Arabidopsis thaliana: one gene and its partner. The protein of the gene in region 1 interacts with the protein of each later gene in a pairwise test. Each region holds a gene or a part of one and is shown on either strand. Other genes may lie near its edges.

What was found.
Region 2: the proteins of FYPP3 (region 1) and EIR1 interact in a protein complementation assay, tested with the Arabidopsis thaliana proteins (one study listed by BioGRID).

The regions. Positions count from the first base shown.
Region 1 is NC_003074.8:6,959,678-6,965,886, forward strand, and holds FYPP3 (flower-specific, phytochrome-associated protein phosphatase 3), read left to right. Parts: upstream 1-2,058; 5' UTR 2,059-2,330; coding exon 2,331-2,411; intron 2,412-2,697; coding exon 2,698-2,844; intron 2,845-2,931; coding exon 2,932-2,999; intron 3,000-3,240; coding exon 3,241-3,298; intron 3,299-3,786; coding exon 3,787-3,897; intron 3,898-3,980; coding exon 3,981-4,031; intron 4,032-4,136; coding exon 4,137-4,280; intron 4,281-4,370; coding exon 4,371-4,466; intron 4,467-4,559; coding exon 4,560-4,631; intron 4,632-5,000; coding exon 5,001-5,084; 3' UTR 5,085-5,529; downstream 5,530-6,209. Other genes in the region: AT3G19970 (alpha/beta-Hydrolases superfamily protein), read left to right, coding at 1-703, 792-897, 1,069-1,259, 1,420-1,690; AT3G19990 (E3 ubiquitin-protein ligase), read left to right, coding at 5,919-6,209. UniProt on the Arabidopsis thaliana protein: Catalytic subunit of protein phosphatase 6 (PP6). Dephosphorylates phosphorylated phytochromes, with a preference toward Pfr forms.
Region 2 is NC_003076.8:23,098,815-23,106,207, forward strand, and holds EIR1 (Auxin efflux carrier family protein), read left to right. Parts: upstream 1-1,701; 5' UTR 1,702-1,950; coding exon 1,951-2,220; exon of another isoform or gene 2,221-2,371; intron 2,372-2,468; coding exon 2,469-2,771; intron 2,772-3,151; coding exon 3,152-3,596; intron 3,597-3,993; coding exon 3,994-4,263; intron 4,264-4,561; coding exon 4,562-4,829; intron 4,830-4,916; coding exon 4,917-5,002; intron 5,003-5,077; coding exon 5,078-5,235; intron 5,236-5,358; coding exon 5,359-5,435; intron 5,436-5,575; coding exon 5,576-5,642; 3' UTR 5,643-6,414; downstream 6,415-7,393. Other genes in the region: AT5G57080 (uncharacterized protein), read left to right, coding at 145-270, 492-554. UniProt on the Arabidopsis thaliana protein: Acts as a component of the auxin efflux carrier. Seems to be involved in the root-specific auxin transport, and mediates the root gravitropism. Its particular localization suggests a role in the translocation of auxin towards the elongation zone.

The DNA of each region.
Region 1 (6,209 bases):
TTGTTGCTGCTGCTGCTGTGATTACAGCTTCTGTGTCTGCAGATGTCTCTGAGAGGTTCTCATCTCTTAGATCACTAGTTCGAGGTTCTGAATCAGAGCAGATTGCTCCTTCAGTGTCTGGTTTAGTTCAGGAAGAAAGGTCCTTGTGGGTTTCTCAAGTCTCGGCCTCCAAGCTTGCAGATTTATCTTTTGTGTCGAGGATTTGTGTTCCTGTACCAAATGTTGATCTCCTAGCTTCTAATCCTAGCTGTAGTCTCGCTACTTCTGTTACTTCTCTGTCCGCTCTTCGTAGTGTTTATCAGTCTGCAGAGTTGGCTAAAGCATCGAAACCGGTTGCATTCACAATCGGTGCCTCACTTGTGGTTCCTGATATTTCCTACAGATGGCATTTACCTGAGCCTAGTGCAGTCGATATGTCTGGTTCTTCGAGTTGTGTGTCTGAAAAGAATAGAACTGTTGTGGTTTTGCTTGGATGGCTTGGATCAAAGCAGAAGCATCTGAAGAAATATGCTGATTGGTACACTTCAAAGGGTTACCATGTCATTACATTTACTCTTCCGATGAATGAGATTATGAGTTATCAAGTTGGAGGGAAAGCAGAGAAGAACATCGAGTCGCTGGTTAATCACTTGGCTGATTGGTTGGATGAAGAGCAAAAGAAAAATCTCGTCTTTCACACCTTCAGCAACACCGGGTGGTTAACGTGAGTTTAATATCTCTGTTTTTTTCATGTGCTTACATAGTTACATGGCGGTTTTACATTTTACTAAGCGAGTTTCTCATCTATGCAGATATGGAGCCATTTTGGAAAAGTTTCAGAAGCAAGATTCATCATTGATGGGAAGAGTTAAAGGTTGCATAGTGGACTCAGCTCCTGTTGCTGCTGCAGATCCTACGGTAAGCGATGATTCTTGCATTCATAGCCATGTTTATATGGTCATTTGGCTTGTGCTAAATCATAGGCTTGGATACCTGATTTGCTAGACGCTGATGGGTGCTATTCTTTTTATAGATTTCTGCACTATTCGCTTGAACTTTCTGGATACTAATTTGGCTTTGTTAAAACAGGTATGGGCATCAGGTTTCTCAGCTGCGTTCTTGAAGAAAAGCAGTGTAGCCACTAAAGGATCTGCGAGCTCATCATATGAGTCAAACGGTATAAACATCTCCCAGCCTAAACCCGCTGCAACAGAAACAGCTTTGCTTTTGGTTCTTGAAAAGTTCTTTGCGGTGATTCTAAATCTTCCCAAAGTAAACAGGTAACATACAATAAAACTCCGCGTTTCGTCACTCATTCTTTTACCCAAATCCTATGATTTCACACTAACAAATGCGGGCAATCATATCTCTTCACTCATTCTTGTCACCCATATCCTATGATTTCACACTAACAAATGCGTGCAATCATATTTTTAACAGGAGACTTGCCGATGTTCTTGACACATTATCAACAGCACAACCAAGTTGTCCACAGTTATACATTTACAGCTCTGCAGACAGAGTTATACCGGTGGAACAAGTTGAATCATTCATTGTAGAGCAGAGGAAAGCAGGACATGAGGTCCGTGCTTGCAACTTCATATCTTCACCTCATGTAGACCATTTCCGGAGTAACCCAGAACTGTATACAGCTGAGCTCAACCATTTCATGAACAACTTTGTCCTTTCTTGCTGCCACCATTCTTCATAGCGACTTCCACAAGTGTTGTTGTTGCTAACCATTTTTGGGGTCCTTTTAACTCTTATACAAGAAAGAGAAAAATAGTTACTGATTGATGATTCTTTTTGGTTTGGATTGGTTTATAGATTCAAATTCATTATTCCTTTGTAAATTGTTGGATATTGTACATTTAGGAGAATGAAGATTCAAGAAAGTGACGTCCTTGTCCTTTGTAGTGGAGATTTGGATCTTATGGTTGTCTTTTGTTATTTGTTCAAAGAGGGTTGTTAAGAACCCAATCATAAAGTTTTTGGCAATTCTCATAATTTTTAGAAGTATGAGGGATCACAATCGTATTTCTTATGAGACGCTGGTTCGTCAACGATTGCGTTTTGACAAACGCAAAAGTTTGATTTGCGTTGGAAGCGGCAGAGATCGATCTGGGATCTTTTTTTCTTTTTGCCGTATGTGTCATTTTGTGAAACTCGAACCTCTCATTCTCTCTTTCATCTCCTCCTCTTACGTAACCCTAACGAAGTCGAAGATTCTCTGGTAGATCTATCTCGATTCGATTCGATTCCTCTTTTTTCCCAGAAAAGTCGCTATTGAAATCGAACGAAAGTGTTGAAGATTTTACCAGTCAGAGGTATATATATATAGAGAGAGAGTTATGGATTTGGATCAATGGATTTCCAAGGTTAAAGATGGTCAGCATCTCTCCGAAGACGAGCTTCAGCTTCTCTGCGAATACGTACGCCTTCTTCTTCTTCTTCTTCTTACTTGATTTCTTCTCTTGGTCGATTAAGCTTCTTGTGCTCTTCTCTGCTTGGTTTGATCTGTATTTATATACCTTAGTGGAACGTGACTTCGATCTGGTCTGTAGTGATTTTAGGATTTTTCTTTCTTTTCAACTATGGAGGCATCAATTTTGTAGTTTAGATACCATTTTATGGTCTCCTTTCTCAGCGATTGATTTATAGATTTGCGAAGATGAATCATGGTGTTAACCAGAAGATGTTTATCATAATGTTATACAGGTGAAAGAGATTCTGATTGAGGAGTCAAACGTACAGCCTGTAAACAGTCCAGTCACCGTATGTGGTGATATCCATGGCCAGTTTCATGATCTTATGAAGCTTTTTCAGACCGGAGGTCATGTTCCCGACACCAATTACATTTTTATGGTACCGAGTTTTCTTTTGTGGTGTCTTGTATGACATATTGATATGAAATTATGAATACAATCATAATCTGGTGTGGGAAATTCGCAGGGGGACTTCGTGGATAGAGGTTACAACAGCCTTGAAGTCTTCACTATTCTTTTACTTCTTAAAGCTAGGTAAGGTGCTCATAAATGTTCTGGAGATTCCTGTTATCATTGAATCTTTGCCTTTAAGTTTTTTTTTGTTCGTGCTTAATACGAACTTATTGTTTATTAAGCAATTAATCTTGATAATTATTTATCTTTCTTTGGAAGAAATAGTCCCAGTAACGTATTGCATTCAAAATTAGTCCAAACGAGAATGATATTGTTTCTTTAGCATCTCATGTTTCTCTGTTCTTTGTATTCTAATATGTAGATATCCAGCCAATATTACACTTTTGCGCGGAAATCATGAAAGTAGGCAGCTAACGCAGGTATGTGTTATTCTGTTCCACTTATATCTATTATTCTGCTTTTCACGCTGTTCCTAGGAGGTAAGCAATGTTGATTATCTTCTCGTTGTTACAGCAGGGTTTTGAAAGTTCTGATTTTGTACTACATGTGGCAATGTCATGTCAGATGTAGACATCGATGTTAGCTAAGATGCATTTTATGTGAATCAAGTATTGGAAAGCTAATTTCAGAAGGTGCTTCATATAGTACCAGTCTCCTTTTTAGCATGTGTGTAATCCTTAGTGTTCTAGTTGATACATAGGTTTTTAAGGAAGAAAGTGTGGTGATAATTTTGTATTTGAATGCATTCCTGGCAAACCTTTACTAAGACTTAGTCTGCAATCATACCTCTTAAAGTGCAATTCAAATATGCATTTCGTGAATCTGCTGACTAGATGATCAAAATTATACATGGATTCTCGACATTGAACTCCTTTATAACACAGAACCATTTGATTTACTTTTTTAGGTGTATGGTTTCTATGACGAATGCCAGAGGAAGTATGGTAACGCTAATGCGTGGCGATATTGCACAGATGTTTTTGACTATCTTACCCTGTCAGCTATTATAGATGGCACAGTAAGTGATTTCTTAGCAACTTGGCATTGTTGATGAGAACACATATAGCTGTATGTTATACTAAAATAGTTTGCTTTGTCTAGGTTCTATGTGTTCACGGTGGCCTTTCCCCGGATGTCCGGACAATTGATCAGGTTAAACTCTGCTTTTATTGCTTGTGGCTTTCACCCGTCAATTATGCTTCTAGCTTGGCATGTTATTAAGGTCCTCCACTCACATAGATTTGCTGTGGGCTCTAGATAAGACTGATCGAGCGAAATTGCGAAATTCCTCATGAAGGGCCCTTTTGCGATCTTATGTGGAGTGATCCTGAAGATATTGAAACATGGGCGGTTAGTCCACGTGGAGCTGGTTGGCTTTTCGGATCCAGGGTTACCACTGAGGTATGTTTACTTTCTCAAAAGCTTGAATTGATACTGTAACTAAGAAATTAATTTCACATCTCTGATCTTTGGTTCTGGCTTCTTGTGCAGTTTAACCATATCAACAAGCTGGATCTAGTATGCCGCGCGCACCAACTTGTACAAGAAGGTCTTAAGTACATGTTCCAAGATAAAGGCCTTGTAACTGTGAGTGTCCTGCTTCTAATGAATTGATATTTTTTATTAGTGGGCGTTTTGAAACTCTGCTTAGTGATTGTTAATTTTGTTTTGTTTGTGAAGGTATGGTCTGCACCTAATTACTGTTACCGCTGTGGGAATGTCGCTTCTATATTGAGTTTCAATGACAACATGGTGAGCCTCTCTTAGTCTTTCCTAAATGAATACTCTAATCTTCTCTGTCAGCAAGAAGGGATTCTATTACTTCAGTGATTTTAATCATTTCTTTTAAGATTCTACTCTATCAAAATATGTACACTCTTGTTGATTTGCTATGTGCCTCTTTGAATTAATGGATCTAGGAAGATTATAGAAAGTAATTTAGAGAATTTAAATCAAGTAAGCCATGTGCAATGAGGTTTGAATATCTGTGTGAGCCATAGATTCTGTTTCTGCATTTGTAGTGGATTTTCATTGACCATAGATTCAAGCTGTCTGTGCTACTAGGATCCTCCTTCCTGCATGGGTTAGTGATGAAATCGATTGAAATGTTTGTATTACCAGGAAAGGGAAGTGAAGTTCTTCACAGAGACAGAAGAGAACAATCAAATGAGAGGGCCAAGGACTGGAGTTCCGTATTTCCTATGAAGAATCACACTTATTATATTTGCTGTGATGATGAAGCCATTGCTGCCATTGGCAATATGTTCAGTTCAATGTGGAAAAGGTTAATATATGATTATATATATTATCTACTGATGGGTTTCGCTTACTATCATTATTTTTGTCCTTTAGGTTACATTTCCCTTGTGAAAGTTACAAGTCAAACACTTTGGTAATAGTCTTAGTCATTTTGATTCTCTGCTCTCTTTTCTTTCCCCCAATCTTTCTTCTGTAATGTTATTTTTTTCATTGTTCACTTGTACTGTTTCCTCTGTTTTTGTTGTTGTTGTTGTGAAGATGACATTAATTCTAAAATAATCAAACATCGTTACAAATGGGACAGTATCGCAACAATAAATGAATACCTGTCGGTCTCGAGCTATTCAATCATTTCATTCGGCTTTTGGTGTGTTGCCTTTCAGATCTATGATACAGATTGTTGTCTCAAGTAATGGAGAGAGGGGTAGTCCTTACAATAAAAAAAAAAAGTTATTATATGCAGTCATGAATGTGGTAAAAAGAATTGCAATTTTTAGTTTGTAATTTTCAGTTAATTAATCTTCACTATATAACTACACTCCTATGAGTTGCTCAGTGAGTTGCATGCTTGTATGATTTAAAATTAATAGTAACTCTTTTTATTACAAAACAGTGAAACACTATGAGAAGTGGGGGAGTTCAGTTCTTGTTCTGTTTGCCGATGAACATCAATGTTGCTTGGTCATCTAATAGAGGGAAATCATAAAATATTAACCTGGTGGTCCTGGTCAATGGTTTTTTTAAAAGAGTCATTGTTTAAGTCTTTTTTTTTTTTTTTTAATGCTAATAAAAAGGTTTAATCCTCCATGCTGGAGAAGCGATCATCATCAACCGAAAGAGAGTAATAGAGACAAAATGGGTTCATCATCATCTCCATCCCCGAACGACGCCGTACTGGAATCAGCCCGACCTTTTCTCCGAGGAGAGCTTGAAAAGATCGACCCCAAACTCCCGTCGTTAATCGCCGTCCTCAAAAGCGTCGGTGCCGGCGAGTGTTGGCACAAACACGGAAGCTTCCTAGATCACTTAATCGATATCTACAAGATCCTCAAGCTATGGAAAGCTCCTGAA
Region 2 (7,393 bases), on another chromosome or scaffold:
TTACTCACGCGCGAGAGCTGCGCGTTCAAATCATAAAAAGCCGACTTGCTATAAAAGCAAACTTGTTGATGATGGTTCAAAATTTCGAAAAGCTTTTCAAATTTCTCTTCATATCGCGCGCTCAGTCAAAAAGCAGAGCCAAAGATGAAGAAACCGTATAAAGGAAAGTTGCCGACGGGAACTCCGTCTCTGGCAATGTCAACACTCGTCGTCGTTGCTTCCCTTCTCGCCGGAGCCTCCGTTGTCCACAACATCTACAAACCAGATCTCGTAAGCTTCACCTTCTCTTTCTGTACATATGTTAGGGTTCTCAAATGTATTAGGTTTGCTCACTTTCTTCGTTCTTGATAATGCCCATAAGCGTGATCGGTTTAAAACCATTCATTTCGTTCTCTGGCTCTGTGATCTCTCTTTTATTGTAATGCACATAAGGTGTTCGATGAATTGCCCATGAGAGATTTGTAATCTGATTGCTTTTTACTTTTGTGCAGAGTTTACCACCGTTGGAAAGTAGTGAAGTGGCCAAGAAGGATGATTCTGTAAACAAAGTTTGAATCTTTCAATAGTTTCATCCTGTTTTATCAGGCTACATTCACTTTGGTTGTTCTCTTTCAATTCATGAGTTAACAAAAAAACATGGATAAAGTTTAAAACTGAGATCACTTATTAAAGGCTTTTATTCTTCTTCCTCTTGTGAAGATGTAAAGAAGAACAAACTCTTTTTAGGTTTCTTGTTGGTCAATTCACCGTTTTTTTTAAAGAGATATAAGAAATCGCGATGATCGTGTAGATGACATAGAGACCAACGAATTGATGGAGTCTTTGCTACGGATTGTGGAAAACCATGTCTTCGATACATATTGGAACTTCAAAAGAGATTTTAGTGATAATCTAGTTAGTATCTCCATCGTTAGATCCATAGGTCCATTAGGCCCAAACGCCCAATCACGTGGCGTGATAAATACGTTAACAATTGCAATATGAAGAAAACACGACAATTAAATATGGAAGAGAGGCTAATTATTCATCGGTCCAATTGCCAATGTCTTTGACTGTAGTTAATAATAAATCATTAAGAGATTTTCGTTTAAAAACAAAAATACACCGTTTCAAGATTAAAAGATAAGTTAATTACAATTGTATTTTTCCTGATTAAAAATCAGATGTTTACAGGGAACCGCAGATCGCTCAGAAAGTGTAGTAAGATGCTCGCAAAAACCATGTGCATGTCCATCAACCTTCGCCGTCTCAATAGCTTACACAAAAATCGTTTTTGTTTTCTTATTAATATAAAACCTAATCTAAATTTACAAATTTGTTTTCTTATTAATATAAAATCTAATCTAAATTTACAAATTTGTATTACACGTACAAGTGGATCCAAGTATCTGACTCTACAGATATTTTGAATCTAACATTTGTGTAATTATAATTTATAATCTCTGAAGCATTTAATTTTACTTACAAATAATGTTAGACCACGAGACAGAAGGTAAACCAATCTTCCTTATCCCAAGATAAGATTCTTCAAATTAAATATAACGGCTTTTTGCAGAAGTAATAAAGATAGAAGGAATATCTAGTATCAACGGAAAAAAAGAAAAAATCTAGAGCACTTCGAAAAATTATGGACCAAAGAAGATTCAGACTGAAATTATTACTGTATTAGTATTTGTCCATTCACAAAATGCCGAGGAAGAAAAAAGGCATTTTGGTTTATATTTTGTTTATTTGATATTCAAATGTCCAACGATCCTCTCTAGCTAAGCTTAGCTATAATTCAATGTTTGAACACGAATCCCATTATTTTAACACAAACAACATTAATTAAATATCGTCTCAAGGAACTTCACTTCCTTGTCCATAAATACGTTATTTCACACCACATATACTCATCTATATCTCTATTTTTCTTCTTCTTCTCTCTCTCGCCGGAAAAAGTAAATCAAAATGATCACCGGCAAAGACATGTACGATGTTTTAGCGGCTATGGTGCCGCTATACGTTGCTATGATATTAGCCTATGGTTCGGTACGGTGGTGGGGGATATTCACACCGGACCAATGTTCCGGTATAAACCGGTTCGTTGCGGTTTTCGCGGTTCCTCTTCTCTCTTTCCATTTCATCTCCTCCAATGATCCTTATGCAATGAATTACCACTTCCTCGCTGCTGATTCTCTTCAGAAAGTCGTTATCCTCGCCGCACTCTTTCTTTGGCAGGCCCGTCTCTTTCAATAATCTCTCTATGCACATAATCTATCTTCATTAAGTGATGGTAGTCTACTAGTAATTGCTATGATGGTCAATTTTTACTCGAAAACATATTGGTTATCGAAAGCTTATAGTATAGTAACTATGTCATTTAACACGGGTAAATATTTTAGTTAACATTTTAGCTCTTTTGTAATATGTGTCTCTAAACACACACATTCTCATGTTTGTGTATATATTGTGATATTATTTTTTAGGCGTTTAGCCGCAGAGGAAGCCTAGAATGGATGATAACGCTCTTTTCACTATCAACACTGCCTAACACGTTGGTAATGGGAATCCCATTGCTTAGGGCGATGTACGGAGACTTCTCCGGTAACCTAATGGTGCAGATCGTGGTGCTTCAGAGCATCATATGGTATACATTAATGCTCTTCTTGTTTGAGTTCCGTGGGGCTAAGCTTCTCATCTCCGAGCAGTTCCCGGAGACGGCTGGTTCAATTACTTCCTTCAGAGTTGACTCTGATGTTATCTCTCTTAATGGCCGTGAACCCCTCCAGGTATGAATTTTTCACTGATGACCTTTTTCATATGTTTGTTCAAATTAACGGACCGGTTAACTCAAGTAAACTAGAAAATGGGTAGTTACTAGTTACGACATGACTACATGTCATTTTGGGATTCCTTTTTGCCTATGTAAATCTATAACAAATTTTGAGTTTTGTCTGAGTTCCTTTTTCAGAAGTCAAAAATAATCTTCAAAGTGACGTGTTACATTATTCACGCAGAATTTAATAATTAGTACAATATAAGAAATATCAAGTTATTAACTATAGTCTAGTTGAATTTTCATTCTTTTTGTACCGATTCGGTTATATCCGGTTTAAATCACATCGACTCGAAATTCATCACCTAAAAATATGGATTTATCTTTCATTAGACCGATGCGGAGATAGGAGACGACGGAAAGCTACACGTGGTGGTTCGAAGATCAAGTGCCGCCTCATCAATGATCTCTTCATTCAACAAATCTCACGGCGGAGGACTTAACTCCTCCATGATAACGCCGCGAGCTTCAAATCTCACCGGCGTAGAGATTTACTCCGTTCAATCGTCACGAGAGCCGACGCCGAGAGCTTCTAGCTTTAATCAGACAGATTTCTACGCAATGTTTAACGCAAGCAAAGCTCCAAGCCCTCGTCACGGTTACACTAATAGCTACGGCGGCGCTGGAGCTGGTCCAGGTGGAGATGTTTACTCACTTCAGTCTTCTAAAGGCGTGACGCCGAGAACGTCAAATTTTGATGAGGAAGTTATGAAGACGGCGAAGAAAGCAGGAAGAGGAGGCAGAAGTATGAGTGGGGAATTATACAACAATAATAGTGGTATGAATTTTTTAATATATATATATATATATATTTATTTTTTATTTATTTTTTTAAAAAAATATATTTTGCTTCTTTATAAATTTAAATAGATATAAGAATCGATTCAGATATTATTATTATTTTCCATCAGTCACCGGTGATTATAAGTGGGATATTATTAGGTTTAAAAAGGTTTAAAAGTTAAGTAAAGAGTTCATCAAATAATTTTGCGTAATTATTTTTTTCTTTTAACAAAATAATAATAATTTAGTATATCACTTCCAAAACTCTTAGGTTTTTAAACTGATTATAGTTTTGGAAAACAAAATATTAATTTTGTATTTTGAAATTTAAATGTGATTTTTTCATTATAATGTAATGTTTTAAAATAAAATTTTCTATAATTTATGGTCAGTTCCGTCGTACCCACCGCCGAACCCAATGTTCACGGGGTCAACGAGTGGAGCAAGTGGAGTCAAGAAAAAGGAAAGTGGTGGCGGAGGAAGCGGTGGCGGAGTAGGAGTAGGAGGACAAAACAAGGAGATGAACATGTTCGTGTGGAGTTCGAGTGCTTCTCCGGTGTCGGAAGCCAACGCGAAGAATGCTATGACCAGAGGTTCTTCCACCGATGTATCCACCGACCCTAAAGTTTCTATTCCTCCTCACGACAACCTCGCTACTAAAGGTTTATTAATCTCCAACTTATTTCATATTTTTTTTTATCATTACTTGCCACGCTTCTATTTTTTTTTTAACTTTTAGGAAAAATGTATAAAGCTCAATATCGGTTCTAAGTTTTTTTTATAGTTTTTTCAAAGTTTCAAAACTTATGAAAACTTTTAAACTAATTAAAGTAGATTTTTATTTGGTTCCGTACGGCTTTCTATAAGTTAGTTTTTTGGTCGAAGAAAGGTCATAATAAATTTAGTTTAGTATTTTCTGTGATATTTAATTATAATTATATTCATACTTGGTGATGACAGCGATGCAGAATCTGATAGAGAACATGTCACCGGGAAGAAAAGGGCATGTGGAAATGGACCAAGACGGTAATAACGGGGGAAAGTCACCTTACATGGGCAAAAAAGGTAGCGACGTGGAAGACGGCGGTCCCGGTCCTAGGAAACAGCAGATGCCGCCGGCGAGTGTGATGACGAGACTAATTCTGATAATGGTTTGGAGAAAACTCATTCGAAACCCTAACACTTACTCTAGTCTCTTTGGCCTTGCTTGGTCCCTTGTCTCTTTCAAGTAAGTACTAATAATAATGTCACAATCATATAACATAACAATATATTTGGGCAATTGCTTGATGTTGTTGATCATTTTATGGGACAGGTGGAATATAAAGATGCCAACGATAATGAGTGGATCGATTTCGATATTATCTGATGCTGGTCTTGGAATGGCTATGTTTAGTCTTGGTATAGTTCCCTTCATATATATATTTAGTTATAGTCTTTGGTGCTTTTTTTTTTGCTAATTATTGATACATATAGGTCTATTTATGGCATTGCAACCAAAGATTATTGCGTGCGGAAAATCAGTAGCAGGGTTTGCGATGGCCGTAAGGTTCTTGACTGGACCAGCCGTGATCGCAGCCACCTCAATAGCAATTGGTATTCGAGGTGATCTCCTCCATATCGCCATCGTTCAGGTGATTACTCTTTAGTCTTATATATATTTCAATCTAACTTACAGTTTGATGTTTTAGCTAGTGATGTTGGGTTTCTTTGAAAAATATAATTGATAAGAATATATATAATTGTATGTTTTGAAGGCTGCTCTTCCTCAAGGAATCGTTCCTTTTGTTTTCGCCAAAGAATATAACGTCCATCCTGATATTCTCAGCACTGCGTAAGTTATTTAAGTTATAAAATATTTAATTTTCATTCTTAAACTTCATTTTAATACTATATATAAGATATTAATTTGGTATTCAAACTATACAAAGTTACAGAGATCTCCTAAGCTAAAAACTTGATATTATTTTTCAGGGTTATATTCGGAATGCTGGTTGCTTTGCCTGTAACAGTACTCTACTACGTTCTTTTGGGGCTTTAAGTTATTATCAAAACGTATTTGCAAATAAAAGGCGATACGACCCAAAGGTGATTTTTTTTCAAACGAAAAAGAATAATTACAAGAACGAAAAAAGACTAATTCCAGGTCAGGCTTAGGTGTATGGGACCATGCAATGTCGCATTAATTAAATTATAGCATATGATAGTCGAAAATTTAGATAACTTTGTATAATTAATTATATGCACATGCATGTACGTGACTTTGTAGTTTTTGTTACATTTATTAAATTTTTGGGATGTGCAAGTACAATTATTTACTATTGATTAGTTTTTTCTATTTATCGATGGTCGTGAAGCATGTTATTAAATTACACTAATATTTCATCATATACTAGTCAAGTATTACTAGATCGCGCAGTCTGTTTAGATTAGATCTTGTGCTTTTCTAAATCTCCATACAATTCTTTATTTTGTTTTGGATCAAATGCACTAATACTTCCACATATAACCTTTTTATTTCATTTCTTTTGTCTTATATATTTATGTTTTTGTTTGTATGTAAAGTTAATTATGAACGTTATTTTTTTTGTTAAAAAATTATGAACGTAATATTCGGTTGAAGCTTGAAGGTAGTCGCATTTTAATTCGATGAGTAAAGAACAATCAAACTTATAATAGAATTTAATTTTCCTTTATTTTAGTATATACTTATCTGTCACCAATAAGATATCACTCGGACTATTTTTGGAGTGATACAAAGAATTTGCGTGGAGAAAGAAACATTTCAAATGAAAGCACTAGTCTAGACAATTGATTGTGTAGTAAGATAGTTGCTGATGATAAGTTTTGCGTTATAGACAAATTGTGCATATCTAACATGTGTGAATATCTTAACGAGTGATCAAACTTTTCAACCAAACTGTCCAAAGTTTTTATGAAATAGAAATTATTTTTCTTCTTTTTCCTTGCGTTTGATTAATTATGAGCTCCTCAAAACGTATCGGTGATCGGCGCTTGAATTTAAGTATGTAAATGTAATGTACTAGAAAAGATGGCTTGGCTCTGGAGGCGTTGACTGTGTAACGTGAAAACGATCACGTGGGGTATCAAAACGATGAGATATACGTTGGAACTCGCTCTTTGGTCGGAACGTAATTGAACGAACAACAACACATGAGAAATTCAATAACAATTCTTCTCTATATAGTTGTCCTGACCTCTGACTTATCTGACAATAGATCTTTTAATAGTTTACACGTAAAAATATTTATTATTCAATGAAGTGCGTAAGAGAAATAGCATATGTATACTAAGGGTAAAAGTATTTATACGTTTTGATGTTTTCAGAAGGTTTTGTGCATTGAGTAGGAGACAACATTTGCTCAGTGACAGCTCTTGTCTCTCTAGGCACCTTACTATTATAATGTCTCATCGTGAATCTTATCTTGTATAACAAATTAATGTTCATATTGTTTCAAGTACATTATAGCACATGTTTATAAACAAACTTGCATAAATACCTTAGAATTTTATCATTTTTGCTAATGCCAAAAATTATCAGTCTCTTACTAAAAGCGATCGAAAATGAATCAGCGTTATGAGCTTCTTTTTTGTTCCATATTGGATCAAATCATCAATTACTAATTAAAAGCAAAATGATACAAATCCTCAATACGTAAGACTAAAACCGGCCCATTTAACAAATTCAGCCCATAAGGCCTAAATCATTTCATGACATTTTGGTTTTGTTTTGGTCTAAAATCATTTTTAAGATTGTTAATTTTTTTGCTC